Linked DNA regions of Nothobranchius furzeri. The protein of the gene in region 5 interacts with the protein of the main gene of each other region in a pairwise test. Links are inferred from orthologs where the notes say so. Each region holds a gene or a part of one and is shown on either strand. Other genes may lie near its edges. The genes, in order: lysophosphatidic acid receptor 2, sik3, nedd9, neu4, trip6 and mettl17.

The links.
Region 1: the proteins of trip6 (region 5) and lysophosphatidic acid receptor 2 interact in a two-hybrid assay, tested with the Homo sapiens proteins (2 studies listed by BioGRID). The link is inferred for Nothobranchius furzeri from reciprocal best matches to the Homo sapiens genes TRIP6 and LPAR2.
Region 2: the proteins of trip6 (region 5) and sik3 interact in binary tests that used the Homo sapiens proteins (3 or more experiments, as listed by UniProt). The two-hybrid records come from large-scale screens. The link is inferred for Nothobranchius furzeri from reciprocal best matches to the Homo sapiens genes TRIP6 and SIK3.
Region 3: the proteins of trip6 (region 5) and nedd9 interact in binary tests that used the Homo sapiens proteins (3 or more experiments, as listed by UniProt). The link is inferred for Nothobranchius furzeri from reciprocal best matches to the Homo sapiens genes TRIP6 and NEDD9.
Region 4: the proteins of trip6 (region 5) and neu4 interact in binary tests that used the Homo sapiens proteins (3 or more experiments, as listed by UniProt). The two-hybrid records come from large-scale screens. The link is inferred for Nothobranchius furzeri from reciprocal best matches to the Homo sapiens genes TRIP6 and NEU4.
Region 6: the proteins of trip6 (region 5) and mettl17 interact in binary tests that used the Homo sapiens proteins (3 or more experiments, as listed by UniProt). The link is inferred for Nothobranchius furzeri from reciprocal best matches to the Homo sapiens genes TRIP6 and METTL17.

Annotation. Positions count from the first base shown.
Region 1 is NC_091744.1:9,323,894-9,328,177, forward strand, and holds the start of lysophosphatidic acid receptor 2, read right to left. Parts: upstream 2,801-4,284; 5' UTR 2,168-2,800; intron 1-2,167. UniProt on the Homo sapiens protein: Receptor for lysophosphatidic acid (LPA), a mediator of diverse cellular activities. Seems to be coupled to the G(i)/G(o), G(12)/G(13), and G(q) families of heteromeric G proteins. Plays a key role in phospholipase C-beta (PLC-beta) signaling pathway.
Region 2 is NC_091753.1:15,843,532-15,847,031, forward strand, and holds part of sik3 (serine/threonine-protein kinase SIK3 homolog), read right to left. Parts: intron 1,846-3,500; coding exon 1,689-1,845; intron 1,607-1,688; coding exon 1,457-1,606; intron 1,384-1,456; coding exon 1,310-1,383; intron 492-1,309; coding exon 357-491; intron 1-356. UniProt on the Homo sapiens protein: Positive regulator of mTOR signaling that functions by triggering the degradation of DEPTOR, an mTOR inhibitor. Involved in the dynamic regulation of mTOR signaling in chondrocyte differentiation during skeletogenesis.
Region 3 is NC_091759.1:25,485,569-25,489,068, forward strand, and holds part of nedd9 (enhancer of filamentation 1), read left to right. Parts: exon of another isoform or gene 1-2,563; intron 2,564-2,570; coding exon 2,571-2,876; intron 2,877-3,500. UniProt on the Homo sapiens protein: Scaffolding protein which plays a central coordinating role for tyrosine-kinase-based signaling related to cell adhesion. As a focal adhesion protein, plays a role in embryonic fibroblast migration.
Region 4 is NC_091753.1:42,144,688-42,148,544, forward strand, and holds neu4 (sialidase-4), read right to left. Parts: upstream 2,679-3,857; 5' UTR 2,464-2,678; coding exon 2,263-2,463; intron 2,144-2,262; coding exon 1,888-2,143; intron 1,614-1,887; coding exon 670-1,613; 3' UTR 501-669; downstream 1-500. UniProt on the Homo sapiens protein: Exo-alpha-sialidase that catalyzes the hydrolytic cleavage of the terminal sialic acid (N-acetylneuraminic acid, Neu5Ac) of a glycan moiety in the catabolism of glycolipids, glycoproteins and oligosacharides.
Region 5 is NC_091742.1:54,147,319-54,151,333, forward strand, and holds the start of trip6 (thyroid receptor-interacting protein 6), read right to left. Parts: upstream 2,801-4,015; 5' UTR 2,680-2,800; intron 2,678-2,679; exon of another isoform or gene 2,572-2,677; intron 2,206-2,571; 5' UTR 2,166-2,205; intron 1-2,165. UniProt on the Homo sapiens protein: Relays signals from the cell surface to the nucleus to weaken adherens junction and promote actin cytoskeleton reorganization and cell invasiveness. Involved in lysophosphatidic acid-induced cell adhesion and migration.
Region 6 is NC_091751.1:41,153,267-41,157,277, forward strand, and holds the start of mettl17 (ribosome assembly protein METTL17, mitochondrial), read right to left. Parts: upstream 2,801-4,011; 5' UTR 2,675-2,800; coding exon 2,606-2,674; intron 2,168-2,605; coding exon 2,026-2,167; intron 1,919-2,025; coding exon 1,769-1,918; intron 1,692-1,768; coding exon 1,604-1,691; intron 1,535-1,603; coding exon 1,453-1,534; intron 1,363-1,452; coding exon 1,289-1,362; intron 1,217-1,288; coding exon 1,122-1,216; intron 1,050-1,121; coding exon 979-1,049; intron 837-978; coding exon 729-836; intron 341-728; coding exon 272-340; intron 191-271; coding exon 140-190; intron 62-139; coding exon 1-61. Other genes in the region: parp2 (poly [ADP-ribose] polymerase 2), read left to right, coding at 3,178-3,250, 3,812-4,011. UniProt on the Homo sapiens protein: Mitochondrial ribosome (mitoribosome) assembly factor. Binds at the interface of the head and body domains of the mitochondrial small ribosomal subunit (mt-SSU), occluding the mRNA channel and preventing compaction of the head domain towards the body.

The DNA.
Region 1 (4,284 bases), on a different chromosome or scaffold from region 5:
GACTGATTTCTGCAGCAATGAACACGTGACATTATTCATTGCTCTGATTGGTCCTTGTGCTGTCCAATTGTGTACAGTGACAGTTTGGAAGACAACCATAGATTGTGCAGTACGACTGGATGGTTTCAATGGGTTTTGGCCAGGTTATGGTTTACCAGGCTAGCTTGTTTCATGATCTCAATAATTTCCCCACATGCCCCATCTAAACCAAGGAAAATAATGCAAACCTAAAGCTGTCTTGATGAGAAATATCCTCGTTCTTCCTCCAAAGAATTAAACGACAAAAATGGCTGCATTTCCTTAAACACAAAGCCAACAGTCAGCCATCTGGAACATCTGTAAACATTTGTCTCAGAGTTGCGTGTAATGCACAAGTTGCGCAGAATCCCCCTAAATGGATTTATTTAGAGATGGACTTTTAACCCTCAGAAAGAACATGTGACAAGAACAAAACCCTCCTAGCAAATGGGACCCCCTGACGTGGTATGTAAACAACCAACTCAAATTTCAGCACAGCTTGATGCCAGCCTCACACTCACCTAACAAACCCTATTAAACTCACTAATTAGCCCGTTATCATTCATGCCTAAGGAGCTTTGTGGGGGGAAAAGGACAAAGGGTAGTTGCAAAGGAAATATCCCTTCTCCCCACCTCCTTCCTAACCAAGAACACCTCGTCTGCCTCCCCTCCCCCATTCCTAGCACTAATGTAGCAATTTAAGCATTCCCATTTTTTATCTATAAATATAAAATGATAACTTATGTCAGAATAAAACAGCAGCATAGTATTTTCTTGTGATTTGTTTTCCATAAAAGTTGAATTTTTTTGTTTTATGTGCAAAAGCTGCAAGTGTGTAGGTCCCTATGGACTTTTTGCAGCTCTAGTTGGACAATGTTAGCAGGATTGTGTGTTTTCACGTGTAACTTGTCTGTTATTTGTATGTGAAAAAACCCAGCTGAATCTGTAAACACTGGTTTGAATGCAAACCAGTCATTACAAGAAAAGCCACACCCAGGTCTCTTCTCCCTCCTTTCGCCTCTGAAAAAAAGTCTTGGCGGTTTAACGGCAAGAAAAGCACACAGGTTACAATTAACACGACGGTGGGGGAAAACACATTTCCAACCCATTATGATTAGTTCTTTGATCAAACCACAGGAGTCATATGTAGGTGTGCTTTTCCTGTGACATGCACATGGTGGAACATTCTGATTTGTATAAATGCCCTTTTCTTTCGTTCAGTCAAACAAATTTCATCCCTCCATCATCTTCTGTGGTCATCGAAACCAAAAGCAAGAATGTGTGACTGACAACAGGCCATAAGGGAAGATGTTTAAAGGTATTTAACAGAAATAGGTATAGTTGAGTTTTTCATTCATCTTTTTGGGGGTGAGGAAGCCGTTTAAAATGAAAGTGTGGGGAGTTTCACATTTCCTGAGATGTTTTAGAAATGTTCCATGTTGATAATAAATAAAAACTAAAGACCAAGGTGACCGTGTGATGGTAATGACAGAAATTTGCATCTTGTTCTCAGAATATAAATCCATTCCCTACACCCTTAGGGTGAGCAAAACTATGAAAAACAAACACAGTTTGGCTCAAGTTAGATAATTTGCTGAGTTTCCTCATTCATTTCCAACAAGTGAGTTTCAGTCAAGCTTGTTATTTTGAAAAAAAATCTATATTACTAGCAATGCACTGGTTTTTCTACTATAACTAACATTTGTTTTCAGGTGTGCATGCAAAAAATGATCAGTGCAGTAGTATTTACAGATGGTAAAAAAGGTGCAGTGTGTCAACAACGCCTGAACATTGATCCTTCAATTTATTGCAGGATTGTTCTGATTGCATTATCATAAGGTGGATTTAACCTGTTAAACCTGTTTGCTACAAAACAGAACCACTAAAGAAAATCCTATTAAAGTGAGTTGTTTTATTGGAGAATGTGCAACAGGGGCATCCGGGAAAGGGACGATACAAAAGTCTTATCTGCAGGAGATAACACATTCTTCTGCTGAAACTAGAGTAAAGTTGTCTGGAAGCATGAGGGCATTACACAGAAGGGGCATGGACGGATTTAGGGATGAAACTGCAGTTTAAAAAGAAAAGTTTCTTAATTCCGGGTTTTCCACCTGATTGTTTCACAAAGAGAAAAAACAGATCTACTTACTCGTCCTTGGTCGAGTCCTCCTCGGGTCACTTGCGCTCCACAAACATCGAGTTTTGAAAGACGAAAGAAATAAAAATAAAACACTTTAAAGAAACGAGCGTTTGTCCCAAGGTGGAGGAGGTGGATGGATCACATCAAAGCTCTGCCCCGGGGGGAGTTTTCACGTCCCTGAAACTTTAGCGCGGTGGGTTTCGGCCTCCGTCACCTGAACGGAATCTCGCTTCCGGTAATTTGAGCAGATCGTTACCTGCGCGCAGCGTTCCGCTGAGGGAAGGGTGCGGCAGCCGCGGTGCGGAGCTCCTGATCTGCACAGTGCGCAGCTCTGTCCCACAAGGGAGCTAGGCTGGAGCGCTTCACGTCTGTGGAGCCGCCTCCTGTCGCCCCCTGTCGGCTGATGGGAAGAAGGACCAGCCAATCAGAGCCTCGCTAGGAAAGGATGGCTTCAACCAGAAAAGGCCGATGATCACAGCAGGGAGGTGGATGATCAGAGCCAGGGCAGCCAAGGAGGGATCCCAGTACAAAGGTGGGAAACCATTTCACCCAGAGGCCTAAAGATGCACATGTGTCTACTCAATTTCCCTCTGGGATTAATAAAGTATTTTTGAATTGAATTGAATTGAATTGAATTGAATGTCACCCATTGCTTTTTCATTAATGTGAAAAATCAGAGAAATGTTTGTTAAAATGCTTGTGTCATGGGCTGAGTGGGGGCACTTTGCCTTGCAGTGAGTAGGTTGCAGGTTCCAGCTGCAGCCGTTCTGCATGTTTTTCTGCAGATGATCCAGTTTCCTCCTCCACAGGCCAGTGTCCAGAGTGTCCCTCACATCTGGCCTGGTGAGTGCTGGAGCTGGGCACCAGCCCCTCATGACCCCAGTGAGGAAGAAGTAGTTCAGAAGTAGTGAGTCAGCCATTTGTGTAATCTCATCATGCAACATTTCAAGGCCTTTGTTAGAATAAGAATTCTGACCCTTTTGATATCATTTCCATTCATTTATTTGCATTTTTTCCCCAGTTTAGCTCATTTTTAACTGTTAATTGTTATAAATAAGATAAACCTACCCAGGGATATCCAGAGCTTTTGTTTTTACAACCAGGTGGTTTGGTCTGACCAGTGGGTTCCAACTTTTTACACTGTGACGTCCACCAGCTCCGTTCTCGTGACTTTTACTTTACGCAGAAGGATTTTAAATCTCCTCAGCTACTCAGTATTTATTCATGATCCTTTATGATCCACTGATTACCTCATTCTTATTCTTTTTCTCTTTCCCTTTTCTCCCATTTTAATCACAATTTTTACTTCTCCGTATTTAATATTTTTTAAATATTATTGTTATTTTTATTTTGTTCTTCTGAAATGCCTTGTGATTTTTATCTTGAGGAGGCGCTATATAAAACATCTTCATGAATAACCATGAAGGAGGGGTTTGAGTTCCTGGGTGTCGGGGCTCGGAGGGGCAAACAGCTCTTGCTGATATCATGTAAATAATAGTGGTCCTGGGTGAGAAGATAGAGATTTAATCAAATAAGATAAAAGAGAAGAAGAAAAAATAACAAAGAACAAGGTTATCTTGTATTGATACAAAGTATAAGGCCCTGGAGTCAGGCCTGAAGGAGGGCTTATCAGCAAAGACCTATCAAGCCTTTGAAAATTCATTGGGGGGCGCGGGGGCTGCTGACTTCCTGCAGGAACCATGGAGATCTATTGTGGATCCGGCAAAACCAGAACAAAGATGGTATTCCAGTCCACCTCCACCCTCACTGTTGCCTTTTAATTAAAAGCATTCATGGAAAAGTTGTCAAAAACGACAACAATGACATTTCTTGTTAAAGCGACACGGTGAGTGAAGGCATTCACACATTCAAATCTAAACACGACTTCACAGCTTGGTAGCAGATAAACCTCAGCCTTCAGCAATAAAACCCCGTCTGGATCAGCTATAACTCAAAGGTTGGTGACACGATCTCCAGCCCAGGTCATCGCGTCAATGAGAGGGCGAATTCCAGACACATACTTTTTTTTCTTGCTTGACAGCAACAAGAAGAGCGTGTCTCGTATTAAGCCTACATATCTTGTGTGTAACAGTCCAGTAGCCGGGTTGAGCTGATTACACTAGGAG
Region 2 (3,500 bases), on a different chromosome or scaffold from region 5:
AAGAGGACTGGGGCCACTGGAAGGAAAAGATCTCCCAGTGGCCCCAGTCCTCGTCCGCACACAGGTGTTTCAGACCGTGGTCTAACAGCTGCAGCTGACACGAGCGTGTACCACCACGTCGTTCAGCTGAACGTTTGTTCTGACACACATCCTGTTTAGGTGCCAGTTCCTCCTCTATGGAGTAAAATGACCTATTTATGCAGAGGCTGGCTTTATTTCTGCTACACCCTGGCTCATCCGCTGTGTGTGTGTGTGTGTGTGTGTGTGTGTGTGTGTGTGTGAGTGAGTGAGAGAGAGCTTTATAGTCACCCCTGAGGTGTGTGTGTGTACAGCTCAGAGCAGGAGAGTCCCCTCACCGGGTGTGAATGTCAGGGGCCCAGCCGCACCGCTGGCGGGGGCCCTGAGGCCGCTGTGACTCTGTCGAGGGCTCGCCATGTGAGGTGCTTGTGAGCACGTGCGTCGTGTGGCGCTTGGAGCGGTTCGCCAGGTACCTGGGCCGTTGGAAGGGGGGTAGGACGGGGTGAGAATGGGAGACAGGAAGCAGCGCTGGTCAGCTCTCTGTCCTCATTGGCTAATGGAGATGGGGGAAGGACCACCCCTTTCCACCTTTGCCAATGCGTGCCGTTACTCATATCATCGTAGCCAATCAGAAAACATCAAATAAAGTGACACCACAGATGGAGGTTACAGCATTTGTGAACCAACAACTGCCCAGCGTCCAGCTTAAGGGTTGGGTCAGTCGCTGTTTGTGTAGCCACCGGTTTGGCAAGCTTCAGAGTTAGCAAAGCTGTGTGAGAAAGAGTGAACAAGTCCACAGAGGAATCTGGCACTTGCTGAAATGAGAGATAAACCAGCTCGAGGCCAGAGCCTGATGGCAAACTCTGTTGGGAATGTGGCAGAAGGCACTTGCGATGGAGAAAGGAGAAAAGATGGGATAAGCACCACAGCACTGTGGCCACCTCTCAAGGGGGAAAAGCAGAGCAGCCGAGAGGCACTCACTCCCAGCAACCCAGGACACCGGCGAAGGCTAAAGAACGTGCCGTCTGAAGAGGACCGCCTTAAGGCCCAGACCTGGACTCCGTCACAAGCTTTCCCCAATGATGTTCTTTGAATTTCATCCAATTCTTTCATTTACATGTCTGTAAATCATTTATATTAACATGAGCCTGAAATCTGAGCTTCTGGAGTCCCTGGCGGAGCACTGCTAACCCAACTCTACAGTCAGGGGCTTTGGGGTCTCAGCAGCTTCCTGTTCAGACAGCACCTTCGTTGCGGAAACCCAGCCACCACAAACCGTCACCATGGTTACCTCTGCACTGCCTCCTGGTCTGGCTCTCCATCTGAACCCTCCTCATCCACTGGAGCTACTGCAGGGATAGGATGCTGAGAGAGGCAGAGTTTACTGGTTAAGGTGTGTTTGGCACACGCCACAAAGAATATACACCCAGTCCCTCACCGGGCTGGCCACCAGGGGTGATGGCCCCCTGGGCCTCTTCAGGAGTTGAGCGTGTAGCTGGATGTTGGCCCCGCCATCTGAAGCTCTTCGGCCCAACGGGCCCATGCCATTCAGAAGCTGTAGAGTGGGAGGCTGCAGCAGCGATTGCTCCTGCAGCGTTAGCAGCCACAGGAATTCAGAAATCAGCACGAACACAAATCAAACACATCCAGTCCGACGCAACGAGCTGTACCTTGTACTCCAGCTGCTGTGTTGGCTGAAGGCTCTGTGTGGGCATGAGGGTATGCATTTGACCCATAGTGGGGGCAAGTTGGGGGAAGGGGGTCTGGGGAATTACACCACGAGGGAAACCGGGTGGAAGGTTTTGGAGCTCCTCCTGCATCTCCGTCCTGTGGAGGCAGGTACAAGGTCACATGGAGGTAAGATATTCTGATGAGTAACACCTGATAACCCCCCACCTCCACAAACATGCGTTAAAGGGGTTGTGAAAGTAACCGAGCTATCCTCACAGCACTACCCCTCATCCTAAACAGATCTCGGGTTTTACCAAGGGTTGGGCATCGAGTCTCGATTGGAACCAGGGGATAACGGGGACTGGTTCAGACCGTATCTCGGGAACCGAAGCTTTACAGTTTGCATGGAGAACTACTTGTCGCTATCATTGCCTCTACCCTGGGGTGTTCCTCAGGGTTCCATCCCATTATCACTGATAATGTTGCGCCTATTTTAACACCAATTTTGGGGACCGCCAATGTTCTCAGTCACATCTGCATTCCTAAGGATGCCTGTAATGAACCCGGCCACGGTGGGGCAGGCTGGGGCTGACTGCGCGACGTGGAGCTGGCCCTAGAGTGGAAGGGCCCACATGTAGGATGGCCTGCCAGCCTAATATTTTGTTAAAACAACAAACAGGTGAGCACAGCCATCTTTGTTAACATGATAAAGCCATTCACTGACAAAGATTTTTAACGTTTTGAGGCTGTGCCTCACAGGCATTGGCTGAAGCGCTGTTATGCAGGTCATCTTTTCAGGGTCTCATTGGACTATTTTGGCGGTTCCAGCCCTGATTGGAATCGCTGAGCCAACAGAATCACTGGTGAGTTGTTTTCGGCTGGCTTTTGCAAACCGATCACAGGAGAATTGCTGTTAACCAGGATATGATGGAGAGTAGAAAAGGTTCTCCAGCAGGCAAAACGGCCCAAAATAATAATTTATCAGCTCTGTTTGGCCGCTGGGTCGTAGAATTTAACAAACAAGTGGATTTTTTTTTTTTTACTTTAACACAGATTATGACCAAAAAACAGCAAAGGTAAGACTGAGTATAAACTTTTATCGTCATTAATATCGGCTTTGTTTTGGTCCTTTTTTAGTGGTTAGCTAAATCAGTTTTACAAGTAGAGTAATGATACATATGTATTATAGTTAGCGGGTTTATATTAGTGGACCAACACCAGCAGATGACATGGCTCCCCAAATCAACACCGATTGTGGAAACTTCACACAAGCATCTTGGATTGCGTGCTTCTCCGGACATACTGGACCAGACTAGACCACTGAACAGCGCCAGGGGCGGATTGACAAGAGCAACAGGACATTTGAAGCTCATGTCCAGGATCTGTCTGTGTGTGATGGCTCGTGATTAGGGTGGGGCATCGTTTGATTTTCAACGATTCAGATTCCGATTCCTCGTTTCGAATCAGGTTCCTATCGATTCCCGATTCCATTTCTTTCAAGACATGACATGTTTTACACGAGCCAGCTAACCACAGGTCCTACTAGATGAAATAATCTTCAGTGTTTCCCCTAGGAATTTTTCCAGCTGTGGCGGGGGGGGGGGGGGGGGGGGGGGGGGGCATTGGAGAGAAATTATGACACGTCTCTAAATAAGGTAAAAAAATTTTAGTGCAGAGAGGAGAAAACCCATAGAAGCACTGATTTGATCTCATTTAAGAGAAAAATACACCAAGTCAGATGCACCTAATAAATAAAATTACTAACATAAACTCAGGAATCTGTTTCTTTGCTTCATTGTTCTGGTGCTGAA
Region 3 (3,500 bases), on a different chromosome or scaffold from region 5:
GTTGGTTCTGTTTGGCTAAAGGTCAAAGGTGACAGATCATCTGCTGCTGTGGCCCCAGACTCTGGACCTCTCTCCCTCTGAGCCTGAGATCAGTGGACTCAGTGGTCTCCTTTAAACTCACCTGTTCAGGCTTTTGTATGACCTCCATCACCTCCCTCACCTTGTTCTGCTCTCCCTACCTATTCCACCTTCCTCAGGATCCACTGATTTCCCTCTTTCCTGTTCACTCTCTCTCTCTTTCTTAACATTTTTTAAATCATAATTGTCTATTTTTGCTCATTTTAAATATATTTTTAAAATTTTCTAAATTATTTTTTATATTTTTACATTTATTGCTTTTGCGAAGCGCCTCGTGGTTTTTATCTCGAGAGGCGCTATAGAAACGATATTTTCTTCTTCTTCCGTTTGTGCGGATTCAGCCAGGATTCTGATCCAGGTCCGAGTCTCCAGAACCACCGAGCTGGATTTCAGCTTTGGCCTTCCCGGTCTGGTACCGTCGTTTGTCTGGGTCAGAGGTTCGGGTGCGTTCGTGGGCCGAGGAAACCGTTTCTATGCGTGTTTACTCTGATTGGGCGACGTGTTTGAATGTCGGCTGGTTCACAAACCCGCTGATCAGATCTGTTTGGTGATGAAGCCGAGTCGTAGAACTCCTCCTCGTCATCGCTGCTCTTCACCACTCGGTCGCTGACTGCAGCAAAACAAGACTTAATGTAAAAAAAAATCCAAAACATCAAATCTTGGTTGTGAAGGTTTAAATCTCCAGTTTTATTTGATGAAGCTGACGCTTAGATGTATGTCTGTACAGGAAGACGGACTGTTTGCCATCCTGCTACAGGAGCCCAGAAGGGACAAATAAAACTTTAGTTGTCGGTTTGAAGTAGAAGAATCCAGTCTGAGCCTGAGGACGTAGAAACGTTCTTCAACCTTTGAACGCGATAAAAACTCATCGGCGTGACGACGAGGACACGCCCAGTCGCCTCCTCCTGGCTTCAGACACGTCTGCTGTTACCGGTGACCTTTGCCCTCAGATATCTGATTCACTGGTTACAATGTTTGCGTGTTTGAAACCAGTGAGAACCTGTGAACAGCGTCAGCCCATTTCCTTGGATCTGTGTGGTCCCTGAACTCACCACGACGTCACACTCAGCTCAGCTCAGGGGGGAGGGGAGGTTTCAGGCTGAAGATGGTTTTAGATGGAGATGCACTGATTCTGCTTTTTAAAGCCGATACCGATTTCTGATTCTTGACCTGCTGCTCCAGATTTCCCTCTAAGACGTGAACGGTATGCAACTTTTAAAGTTTCTGATTGAACCTGATTGGATCCAGGCCTCCTCCTTACCTCAGTCATCCCTCGGCGTGGTTCTCCATCAGGAGGAGGAACAGAAGAAGAACGTTGGCTCTAAATAAAGCCTCCAGCAGACTGACGGGAAGCTGCCCGTGGTTTGGTTTGGGTGCTTCTGCGTTGATGCCAGCTGGGCGCAGATATTCTGGTCGTTGTTGTTTGGTGTCAGTGTGTTCAGGAGGACAGAAGGCATGTCTGCTCCCGCTGCTGGCTTAACCTCCTCAGCGAGGGTCTGGATGTTCTTCTGCATCAGGATAATTGTTTATCTTCGTCAAACACAGACCCTGCAGGCTTGTTCTCACGTGAGGGAGGACGGGTCAGAGCCGCGGCCTTTATGACCCTCAGAATAAAATACGATCAAATGAAGGAACCAAGTTCACAAAGGAGTTTCCAAAACATCTCCGAACTTTCGCCGGGGTTCTCGCGGGGCCTCACCCTCCGTCTGTGTTTACGCCGGTATCTCACAAGCCTGATTGTTCAGTCTGTCCCTGAACTCACCACGGTTATTTCCCATGACCAGATTCAGGTTTTATCATAAGGTGAGTTCTGTAAACTCCAGTTCCCTCAGATGAGTCAGAATGGGTGGGTTAGGAGGTCCAGGGCGGCCGGGCCCACCAACGGTACCAGAAACAAACCCACGGCTCTCCTGGAGCTGTAAAGGCTTTGTGTTCTGATCAGAGATTATAATCTGATTTAATCCTGCAGAGTTTCTTCTTCCTGTTTGTTTTCTTCTCATTCCGACCCAGACGGATCCAGAACCTGGAACTGCCAGGTTCTGGATCAGGCAACGTGCCCTTGAGCAAGTCACGCACATCTTAATTGCACCTAATGGGGCGTGCACGGCTGGAAGTGCACGGCCGCTCTACGAAGGTTGAAAACAAGCATTCGTGCCCGTTTCCTCCCTCCTGCTGATGCGTTTAACGAGCTAATCGGTCCTAAATGCCGCGGCGCTGGGGGCTCGTTACCCATGAGCCCTCACCAGACCTTCCCAAAACCCTGAGAAGATCCTGTCAAGTTCAGGTTCAAGCGCAGCTGAAGGTCGCGAGGTCGTGTGACTGCACGGCCTTTAGCAGCTGCTGGGGGCGGGGCTATGATGCCCTACGGGGTCATGATGGGAAATGTTCACCAGCTTTATTTGTAATCACCAGATTTAAACATGGATGAAAGCTGTGGTGTGTGTTTGAACCGTTCGGCGCGTCTAACAACAGTTTTGTTTCTGTGGCTGCAGAACCTGATGGCCAAGGCGTTGTACGACAACGTTCCAGAGTCTCCCGAGGAGCTGGCGTTCCGGAAGGGGGACATCCTAACCGTCATCGAGCAGAACACCGGCGGCCTGGAGGGCTGGTGGCTGTGCTCCCTGCGCGGCTGTCAGGGCATCGCTCCCGGGAACCGCCTGAAGCTGCTGATCGGACCCATGTTCGAGGCCCAGTCGTCGGGCGCCGCCGCCCAGGCTCCTGCTCCGAGCCTCCAGCAGCAGGGCCTCTACCAGGTCCCACCGAGGAGCACGCTCAGCGCTGAGAGCGCACCCAGCAAGGTGAGAGCTGCTCCCTTTATCGGCTAATCTGGCAGTTAGCTTTCTGGTGAATCCAGAGGAGGAATTACCCAGCAGCTTATGGGGTTTATTCTGATGAGATTAACGGAAAAGCTCGTCATTAGAAGCAGCTGCAGAGGTAGGATGGAACATGAGCAACCGGTCCAAGACCCTGGCCCGGTCCAGGTCCAGGTCTCCTAAATCTTCTGGTCTCCATCACTTTTCCAATGAGCAGCTGAACTTCTGCCTGCAGGAACGGGTCATGTTCAGACGGTCTAACCGGGCCGGTGAGACCCGGTTAGCTGCTGTTAGCTCGTCCTCATCCTGCTGCTGCACCGCTCAGCAGACCTTCAGGACAGCAAGCTCTCACCTCTTTCCAGCCTTCAGCTGAAGCTCAGGATTCCTGAAAGTTTAAGCTCTCCTCCTCCTCCTCCTCCTCCTGCTCCTCCTGCTCCTCCCCCCCTCCTCCTCTGGCAGGTCTGTGGGAACACGAGGAGAAAACTTTCCCGGTTATTCATCCGTGTAACTTCTCCAGACGTGATCGGATTAGAATTAGAACCTGAAGAGGTTTTTAGTTGAATCAATCCGGTTGTTGCCGGAATGATCTCAGGTGTGTTTCAGCACCTG
Region 4 (3,857 bases), on a different chromosome or scaffold from region 5:
CCTGGTGGGTGGGATGATGCAACAGAGTGAAACAAGAGTATGTCATATTCATTGTCCAGTGGAATGTGGAGATCATTTGAAAGACAACGGTAGAACCCGCCCCACAACCGAGAGCCGTCAATGGAGCGTGGCCAGACTAAATAATACCTTTATTTAGTCTGGCTTGCCAGGCTACCACTGTCCTGCTTCAAAAAAGTTTTTTTCCTGCTCCAACACACCTGATTCACCAATTAATTTACCTGTTCAGCAGGTCATCAGTAGCCTGGCAAGCCAGACTAAATAAATGTATTACTTGCAAACTTTGCAAAGCAAGAATTTGGTCTGGTTCACTAGGCTAGGTCATCAGATGAAGCTTGTTAAGCACCAACTGATTAAAATCAGGTGTGTTGATTAGAGACACCTCTGAATTAGTTCCTCTTGCAAACCAGCAATGATTTGTATTCTTATTTAAATTAATTCTCTGAGCATTTTCACAAGAAGAAATAAAAACTCCACACATGAAATGTCAAAATTAAATCTTTACAATTAAAATCTATTTAAAAAAAACTACAAAACTTACATTAAACATCTTTCCTACCTATATTTAACAGGAAGTTCTACAGAACTTAATATAGTTGACAAGCAAACCCAGCTTGGTGATTAAAAAAAAGAGAATAAACATTTAACTCTTCAAGAGATAGAGCACGTCTTCATGAGCTTTCTCCTCCTCCTCTTCACTCGAGGTTCCCATTGGACTGTTGTTCCTGGGGTCTCGCGTTTGCATCCCGTCTCACCCAAATGCTGCACAGCCCCGGGCAAATTATCAATCAACTCATGCAGGGTGAAGATACTAAAGCAGATTTCATCGTAGGCGGTTTTAGAGCCACACTCGAAGAGGCAGGCGAAGGCCACAGCCGGCGGTGCCCCAGGCGAGGGGGACAGCTCCAGGTAGGTCAGGTCTGAGTATGCGCTGGGACCCTCGTAGATCACCCAGGGGCCCCGCCAGCTGTCTGGATCACGAGGAAACAGGCTGAGGAACACACCTAGATCCTTACGTGCTGTGGCCCAAGTTGGGTGGGAATATACCACCCATGTAGGGGTCAGGAAGTCTGGATGAGCATCATGATGAGGTGTGATGTTTGAAGATGATTCTGTCGTTTTGTTGGAGTCCAGGAATGACGTCCAGTGCCTGGAGTGACCTGTGGGATGCTGTAGAGTTTGCTGTAGATGCAAAGGAGCAGGAAATCCAACAATGCTACCATGACAACCGTTTCTAGGCTCCACCAGCCGATGCACTAGCTGCCCCTCCTGAAACACAGCTCCATCATCCAGACTCAGGGCCTGCACCCTGTATCCCAGAGGGCTGCGTGCATTACAGTACAGCACGTTGGTGCCATCCTCTTCATCCACGGACACCATCTGACATTCCACACTCTCTGGAGCCGGAATAGCCTCGCCGAAACGCCAGCTCCTCCCGTGGGTGTCGCTGTGGAAGCAGAATGAATGCGGAGTGGTCTGGCAAAGCTGTCCGAAGCACTCCTTACAGTCAATGTGGTAGGAGTAGGCAGGAATCAGAAGACGACCCGACTTTAGCTGGATGCCATGACCCGGACCCAGAGCAAACGTAGCCCATTCTGTCAGGAGGGAGGAAATAAAGGGGACCAATCAGTGTCATCCAATTATTCTGAAAGCTTCTTCCTGTTATTCTTATCAGATGAACCAGATCTTTAACATTATTTAATTTAAAATGCATTCATTTTGTTGACCTACCTGCTGTTATTTCTGATATGTTATTTTATTTATTATTTTGGATATTTTATAAGTTATTGGATCTGATCAAATAAACCTGAAGTGCAACTTGACGGTGTAGTTTTCATCTAGGGTTAAGGTTTGTCTGGGTTCGGTGACCTTTGATGGTGTCTCCGATGACTGCCTTGGTGAGGTCGGTGACTGGACTCCAGGAGTCACCCCCGTCAGTACTGGAGATGAAGCAGAGTCGGGTCACGTTGTTCCCCGTCACCAGCTGGTAGGACTCTGAGGTGTTACCCAGAACAGCGATGAAGAACAGTAAAAGTGTCCCTGTGAACTCATCGTACACGGGACACGGGTTCATGGACCTGTGACCCGGCAGAAAGGCGGTACCCAGAACTCGCATGTCCTCCCACTGAAACAGAATAAAAATGTAAAGAATTACAGTTAAAGCCAACAGTAATCAATTCAAACGATTTCTAAACAAATGTTTTTGTATGATATAAAAAAAACCCAGAATGACAGGTCAGTGACCTCCACGTAGTTCCTGTAGAAAGTTCCTTTCCTCATGATGAGCAGGTGAGCCTGGGAGTCAGACGGGCTGAGTCTCTCCTCACAGAAAGCCAGAAAAGTCCTGAACCGGGACACGTAGATCAGGGCTGGGACTCGGTACGTCACTCCGTTAGGCTCCTTGTGGAAGAGCACCGTTCTCGCTGGGAAGTAAGGCGACCTCATCCTCTTTGTTGGGACTGAATCTGAATCCAGTGACACAAAATCAGGAAGTTTTCTCAAACACAACTAAGGACAAAAGACAAAGAGAAAAAACAGTAAAGGCATTTCTTTATGAATAGGAGCAGTAACTATTGTGATCATGAAAATTTAAGTTATGAAACACATCAGAAATACTAAATGGCAGAAATTAATTTGAAAATCAGGTTCTATGCTACTTCACTATAAACTTGTCTGTATTTTAGCTTTTTACACAAAGATTTTTGTCTAAATCTTTCACCATCTGAGCAACCACTCTGTGACAAAAATCAACAGATCAGCAGTCAAACCAATGTCGCTGCACTGAGCTCAGTTTGAGTTTGAATAAAGTAAATGATCTTACCAGTCAGAGAATGATCTCTTCCACCCGTTTACTGGAATATTTTCATTTGTTTTCTGACCAGTAACTTCCCAGTTTAACAGCACTGGGAGGATTCAACACTTCAAAGTGTCACAAACAGGAGAACCCTTGCTGTCTCAGATCTCTGAGAGAACCGCTGCTGCTTTTCGAGGATACACCGGTTGCGTGTGAGCTCCTGGTTCAGAGGCTCACAGTATGATGTATGTGTGTAGTCAGTGAGTGTAGTGAGAATCTCTGTTCACTATTCAGTGTGGCATCCTGTGCACTGACCCAGAAATGAACACCCCTCAGATCCAAGGCTTTGAATGAATCAGCAGAGAGCAGCCATTGTTAGAAAAGCAGGTCTGGTGGGGGGTGCTGAACAATGATGTGATGCTCCGCCTCTCTGATTTCATATTTTCATTTTCAGCACAACGTACGTTTCGTTTTAATGTGTAAAGCACGTCTCTTCTCTCAGAGCCTTGTGTGTGTGTTCTTGTACTTACTACGTACTGAGGACCATCATGAGATTTTAAACCAACAGAGGGAATGAGTGCGGTCCTCGCTATTTTAGAGAGCTTACCAGTTGGTTTTAGAGGTATGGTGGGAATGAAGTTTTTGTTGAGGTTAGGGTTAGGAATACAGCAGCACTGGTTATGCATAGGCATTATACAGTCACAATGAAATGGAAGTCAATGGATGGTTGTGTGTGTGTGTGTGTTTTGGTGATTACAGCTTCTAGACGCCTCTTGTATGGAGAGACCAGTTGTCTGCATTGCACAGGAGTGATTCTGGCCCATTTTTCTACACAAACGATCTTTAAATCTTAAAGGTTCCTTTGGCCTCTTTTATGAACTTTGATCTTCAGTTCTCTTTTGATTTTCTATGGGATTTGGGTCAGGTGATTGACTGGGCCATTCAAGCAACTTGATTTTTTTTCCCTTTGAAACCAATTCATTGTTCCCTTGGCCTTGTGTTTGGGATCATCATCTCACAACAAATGAACCACCCTTTGTCTGTT
Region 5 (4,015 bases):
TAATGAAAGGAGTCGTAGAAATTAAAAACATAAAGTTGTTGGTACCTTTAGGAAAAAGGTTTGTGTAGATGGTCAGTGGTCCAGGACATGGGAATCTTAAATGTTTAGTTGGAACTGCTGGATCTTTCTTGTTTTCCTTGAAAACGTGTCAGAATGGTGCCGGTGTTTCACTGATATTGCTGGAGGGCCCATGACCTGAGACAAGCGTTCTAGTACTGGGCAGATCCAGAACACCTAAAGCCGAGCGTGCCCTGTATAACTGTCACCGTCCACATGCAAACGACACAAAACAGCCTAGCACCAAAGATTGTCGAATGAGTGGAAAATCAACCCCAAACAGACCAAAAATGGCAGAGGACACACAGCTTTAAAGGTCTCCAGATTTCATTAAACCCCACAGATTAAAGAGCAAGTCAACCCCTACCAGAGTCTAACTCCACTCCCACTTCATGTTTGAAAATGCAACAAATGCTGTTGCCTGGCAGACCGAGAGGGTGGAGCTGCTAACAAATACACACACACTCAGGCTCACGACAGCATTGTGACATCATAATGTACCAGTTTACATCATAGCATACCTCTTAGCCAATAGCAGTGGCAGATTTAAATTAAAATGCAGTGCAGAGTTTTTACCTGACAACGGCACAACACTGCCAGTTTTAGGCAGAATATTTAAATTTTAACTAAGATGCACTGAAGTGCCAAATTATTGACGACACGTGTCTGCAGCACGATTAGACACTCGTTTATTTAGTTTATCAGCAAAAAAAAGTTTATTTGGGGGTGACTTGCTCTTTAAAGACACCTGGTGACCCAAACCCCCTTCATGCCTCACAGTAGCTACAGCATTCTTTTCTTTGCTCCAATGTTTGTGTCTGCGAACACAAAAATCAACAATAAACTGCACCTTAATTATGGGAATGGGGCCGGCACGTCTGACCTGTTGGCCAATCAATTTTGCCACAGCAGAGGCGACGACCCTTCCCCTGTTGATCAGGTAAGATCAGCTAATTTGAGGATGCTAATAGAGATTACAGAGAGAAGGAGACAAACCTAAAGGACATTTTTTCAGCAGTAAAATGTGTTGGGTTGTGGACAGAAGACTTGTTGTGGACTATTTTACTGGAGGACATTGATTTGACCCGTGTGGGTGTAAAGACTCTGTCCTGTCGATTTAAAAAATCTTGATGAACAACATTTGTTTTCCCCCCCCAATACCAAAAACAGAAGTTATAATTACTAAATTACAAATGTTGAAAATGACTTAATGAAACGTGTTTTCCAGAACAAGAATAAATGGCAGACACAAACTCCAGAGACAGACTGCAGACACCCAAACGAGCCATGTGAAATCTGACACAAGTGCAGTCCCTGTGCAGAAATGAATAACCCACTCACACCGATTGGACGTGGGTGGTGTGACCCTCCTCGTGGTTAAGAGGATTATAATGTCAGATCAGATGTCGATGTAGCTTCATATAAATACATTTCAGACAGGAGATTTGAACCCTTAACATGATGTTTTTTTTACTGGTTTTAACGTTCAAATTAAAGATATGTGATCCATGTAAAACCAGCAGATTCAGGACTTGTTAAACTGGAGTTCACACTGAGGAAAGGGTGATCACCACCTGCGCAGTGGTCCCGATTAAAGCGTTTGTCTGAATCCGGATGAGCACACAGTCAAATCTAAGGCAGACTGGCCCAGGGAAATTAATCTCCATGGTTTCATCCCCCTCAAGGTTTGGAGCCAAATGTTTCCTATGGAGCATGCATAACAAATTCTACTTATTGTTCAAACTGTCTGCATAGAGTAAATCATCAGTACCAAGTCCTGAATTGGATGAAAGACAATAAATATAAAGAACTTCCTACTTTTAAATTCTAAATAAAGCATATCAAATGTTTGTGCAACGCAATAACCCAATAAACACAATAAGTCGTCATTTCCTGTTGCAAATCTCATATTTACATTCATTATTTAATTTTACAATTAGGCAACATAAAACACTTATTTTCGAAATAAAAGATAATGATAGTTAAATGTTTGTTTGTGTGCCAGTTACTACTGATAAAGATATAAAAACATAAATTACATAACTAAAAATAAAAAACACCACTGTGCTTCTGGTCAGTTTTTTCAAAATAAAAATCAGCATTCCTACCTTCACAGTGCTTTTACTGTCGCCTGTCCTTAGGTCTCATCTACACACAAATAACAAAGGGGGGAAAAAAAGGCTGAAACAGAAAAGCAGATAAACTCACATCCGTCTGAGATACTGTCCCGTTTTTAGCTCCGCAGCAGCAACGATATGTCAAACCAGAGAATCTGTCTGGTCTAAATCTGTCTGTGCGTCACGCATGTGCAAATCACCGCACTTAAGTGATCAAACACTCCATAATGAAATAAAACTACCCGTAATTAACTTTAATAGCAGCCTTGTTTACATGTTTGCTAGCATGTCATGAATCCGAGAGGTGCTAATCACGGCGGGGAGCTTATTTCGGCACAACACCGGGCTAACTTTCATCACGACCAAAAAGGAAACGATGCGGCAAACCGCCACCTACCGCCCGAACCGAGCCGCACAAACACGACTTACGAGTCCATTTAAACGTTAACGACTTAGTGAAAGTTGTCCTGAAGACTTGGCTGTCGTTGAAGCGTCGTTAACCTACTTTTGTCACGGATCTGAAGGCCTTTAGCGAAGACACCAATTCCTCGCTGCATTCCCAGCGCGTGACGTAGCTCTGGATGCGCGCGCGCGCCTGTGTACGAGCACGAGAGGTGGTGTTGGGAGGAGGCAAGGGGTTGGAATAAAGGAAAGTTTACCTTTTTTCACAAAAATCTCTCTCTCTCTCTCTCTCTCTCTCTCTCTCTCTCTCTCTCTCTCTCTCTCTCTCTCTCTCTCTCTCTCACACACACACACACACACGCACGCACGCACACACACACACACACACACACGCACGCACGCACGCACGCACGCACGCACACACACACACACACACACACACACACACACACACATCTATCTATCTATCTATCTATCTATCTATCTATCTATCTATCTATCTATCTATCTATGTGTGTGTGTATGTATATATATATATATATATATATATATATATATATATATATATATATATATATATATATAAGTAATAAAATACATCTAAATGTCCCACTATAATTGGAAAAATATGTAAATATTTTAGCCGTATTGAGCAATTATTTTAAAAGTTTAGAAATATATAAATGTACTAAATATCTAGTCTCGTCTTCTTCTGCCTATTCGGATCCGGGCAGCGAGGGCAGCATCCCAACCAGGGAGTTCCAGGCTGACCTCTCCCCAGCCACCTCCACCTGCTCCTCCAGTAGGACCCCAAGGCATTCCTGGGCCAGTTTGGAGATGTACTTTCTCCAACGCGTACTTTCTCCAACATGTCCTGGGTCGACCAGGGGACCTCCTGCCGGCAGGACATGCCTGAAACACCTTCCTGGGCAGGCGTCTAGCAGGCATCCTAACAAGATGCCCAAACCACCTCAACTGACTCCTCTCGATATGGAGGAGCAGCGGCTCTACTCCTAGTCTCTCCTGAATGTCTGATCAAATAAACTAAATATCTCTGCAGTAATTGGCATGATCCTTTGCCTCACACAAACAAGAGACTTCACATGTCAAATATACTGTTTATTACCAACTAAAGCTGTGGCAAATGAGTAAAAACAGTTAGTGTTGTAGAAAAATGAAAGAATTGTAATGCTTTAGCCTTATTTGGCTCATTTTACCTAATGCTTTACATAAAACTCATCTGCAATTACTCCCTGAGGTCTCCGGCTGTGATAACCCCTGTGACTTTTGCCTGATCAGACAAAACCCCACAGAGCTTCTTGTGACGTGTCAGGAGTGTTGGGCCTCTGCGGCTGTAAGGGAATGTATTTAGTCCTCTTTGGTTTTCACACATGCTTCTCTTTGTGCAAATTTAACATTCACACCCAGCAGCAAATGTA
Region 6 (4,011 bases), on a different chromosome or scaffold from region 5:
GGAAGTTGCAGGGTGTGATGGGCTCTCGGGCCAGTTTGGGACACATCATCTCATGGGGACACTGAGGAGTAAACAAAAAGAAGCTGCAGCAAAAAATGCAACGCCGCAAACCAAGACTGATGCTTTTCCTTTAACCTACCGGGGCGAACACTCTTGCTGGTCTGGGGTCGTGAACAATCTGCTCTTGTTTCTGTTGTGCAATTTATTAAACTGTCAAAACTTTTACACAGAAACGCCAGGAAAGAACCAAGCGGCAGTTTCACTGGAGTACCTTTAGTAAAGTGTCTCTGGCGTCCATGAGCATCTGATGGCCCTCTTTGGTTCCGTTTTCCACCAGAACCTGAAGGACAAAGTGTGGAAAAATAATGAAACACAGCTTAAAATAAGCTGAATTTTTTTCCACATTTAATTTCTCATGACCTGAGTTTTAATTTCAAGTGCATTTTTAATTTCACCTAGCTATTCTCGATTTGTTGGACCTCAGAAAAATAAAAAAACAAACAATATTGAGAGCATATTATACAAAAACAAAAAAAAACCATTAAAATATTTTTAAAATGTTAAATTACATAAAAAATATTTTAAAAGAGTAATAAAAGCAGGTCTAAGATTAACAGAATCAAATATTACAAGGCAAGAAGCCAATGTCGACACGTGAAGGATAAACACTGGAAAAAACTCAGAAGGCGTAAAAGGAAATATAAAGTTGAATTATTGATCTAACCAACCAGGTAGGAGGATGTTTTTCTCCACAGAGTGATCACAGCATCTTCTCGCTCCTTCACGCTGGGAAGCTCTGACAGAGTGAAAGCAGCCGCCACCAAGTCAAACTGAACCTGAGGAGAGAAACTGGGGAGTCAGATTTGTAGCTTTTATTACCAATTTTAACATAATTAAGTTAATCTGAGATTGCTTTCTCGTGGTAAATCCAGATCAGCATTTCCTCTGTAACAAAACCAAAAACCTGGGATGTTTTACCTTAGGAGAGACGGGAAGAAATCGTCTAAAATAGACGTGTTTGAAAAGAGGTTCAGCCTCCTCCTCATCACCTGCGCAGAAGAAAGCACATTCAGCATCTTCTAAAAAATGTTCTGTTAATGTGACAAATATAACAGATCAACCTTTAAGAAGTCGCTCAGCCAAAACGCTCATAGGCCCAGAGCTGTCCACACACACCATCTCTTTTAAAGAGTCTCCCCAGTGCAAGTGTGATGCCCTTTGAGAGGCAAAAAAACACACACACACTTAACCTCATTTAGACAAAAAGGGTTTTAATTTGCACACTAACCAGGCAACTGTTCCCAATCCTGACCCAAAATCCAGGAGAGATTGAGGAGCAAATGAGGGATCCCTCTTCTTTATCTGAATGAACACAAAAACACATCAGTTTTAATTTAAGAGTGATCAGAGGCACGTACAGGGGCTAAAGTCTTCCACAAATCACTTCATTACCTCATTTAGAGCTCTCGTCACTGCTGCAAAACCTCCAGCAAGCCGCGAGGCCATGTACACCACCCCCAGCTCTTCATCATACCTGAAACACAAAAAGGGCCGGTTACGAACCAAAACTCTCAGATTAAGCTGAGTTCTAAGTTCTGATTACTTCAGGGAATTCCAGTGATATGTAGTTTGTCTGAGCTCTGAGAGAACCCTTTTCCTGATCTGATTCCTCAGCGCTTCCTCGTCAATATCTGCAAAGAGAAACATATTTATTGTCTCCAGGGGCTGCTACATGGATACATCGTTACTTGATCCCACCCTCGCTCACCTCCCATCTTCTGCATGGCTTTCTCCCAGAGTTCTTTCTCCAGACCCAATGCTTTCTGCCTCAGAGTCACGTCCTCAACCATCCGCTTTCGACTCCACAAGTAGTTTATGAGTTTGTGACAGCGATCAGTAAGCTGGGTCACCTGAGCTTCTACACAAAGAAAAAACAAACATGTGGGAAAATTGTCAGTTTTATTTATTATTATTATTATTATTATTATTATTATGGCAGCTAGAGTTGATGACAGCTGATCTCACTTTGAATGACTGACTGTGCAGCAACTTGGAGCTCCTGGGGTAGCCGAAGTGTATTCAGGCTGGTCATACCAGGATGTTTCCTGTGGGGTTCTCCTTTAAGGAAATCTGCTTTGGGCTGTGGGTTAGCAGCAGCACTCACAGTCTGGAATAAATTATTATTACAAAGTGTCAGAATAGGAAAATGAAAAGCAGAGTGGCTGCATTATATGACTTTGTTAGAGTACATAATCGACATATAAAAATATGTGTATGAGGTACATGTTTGTTTGCATATAAATAATTCCAAAAATATACAAAAAATTTATGTAAGGTGTGAAGAAAGCACAGTCTTAGCAAAATATTAAGCAGTACTAGAGAAAAGAAAAATACAGGAAAACAAGGAAATAAGGACATTAGGATAAAAATACTAGTCACTGCAAAACTGTGGAAAGAAATATGAAAACAAATAATTTTATGTAATATTCAAACCGGGCTACTTTTCTACAAACTGACATGTCATTTACAGACCATAAATGTACACAAAACATAAATGACCTCCAGTGAAAATGATGCACTCAAAGACACCTGGTGGAGTACTTACCCTGAACAAAATCTTCACCACAGCCACTCTCTGACTGAGACCACAGGCTTTATAGCTACTTGATGCCATGTTCTCGGTGTCTAAACGGCACTGAAATATTGGTAAACATTTACTTTCATCCACGCTATTGTAAAGCACACCGACCGACTGATTTGCATCAACAAAATAATTCCGGCCACCACTGAAAGTGGAACCATCGAGCCTTAAAGATTTGTTCCTACACGAGGGAAACAAGAAGAGTTCTTTCTCTGATCTTGTTTACAGATACTGGCTAACATTCGGAAACAAATAGCACATAAAAGAAGGATTAGATTAAAAATGTTTGTTTTACCACATATACATCATTAGAAAAATCATTATTTGGTTGTAAACAGATGTATATTGCTGCGTTGCTAACTTCTGTATTCATCGCTAGTTAGTTACGAAGTGCGGCATCTTTTTAATAAACCATCTTCGGTAGGCTTTGCTCTCTACAGGCCTATCCGAAGAAAAGAAAGTTCCCGCCGTGTTTTCTACTGCTTCTCGATTTCTGCTTTTCCTGCTGTTAAATAAACTTGTTTTGATACACAAACATGAGGCGAACCAGAAGTTCGAGAAATAAAAGCCAGCGCGCACAAGAAAACCACGAAGTCCCGTCAAAAACAGGTTGGTGTTTGCTTTTAGCACATCATGGAAGGAAGCAGTGTAGCCATTAAACATGCCCGGACAGAGAATTAGGTTTTATTTTCATCTTCACAATTCTTTGGTAACTATGTCCTGCACTACCTATTACTTATATTTGACAACATTTGTGTTTTAACTAATTGAATCAAAACTTGGCGCGAAAACTGGTGAAAAGCACGAATATTAAGCAGTTCTGGAGGAAATCACTAGAATAAAGTGACTCACTGCTACATTTAATTAATTTAGTAATAACTAAAGCCTCGTTTGAGTGTAGAAAAACAATATAATGGCTCTGCAAAGTCCAGTTGATTAACACATCTTTGTTTAAAAAGTAGTAAAAAGAAACTACATAATTACATTTAATGAATGAAATCAACTCAGGGCAGAAATTTGATGTTTAGAAATTGATTCATGTTTTATAAAGTCATATCAGTATTTTATAGTTCATAAAAGGTCTGTTGTGGAATATTATTTTCAGTTTTTCCTATAATGCAGCACTTAAACAACTGTTTTACTGTTTTCTGGCTCTGTTTGTGATCACAGTGTGGCAGTGGAAAGGAGATGAAGGACAGTGGGAATCGTACCCGCCTACAGCCTGTGCCTTGCTTGATTCAGCCATTTCTTCAGGGAGGACATCCGTCACTCTGACTCTTGGCTCGGGGGCAGCATATGAAGTGGATTTGAAGAAGATGGTCCAGATTAACCCTGTGACGAAATACAAGAGAAAAATCCGCTCCAAGACT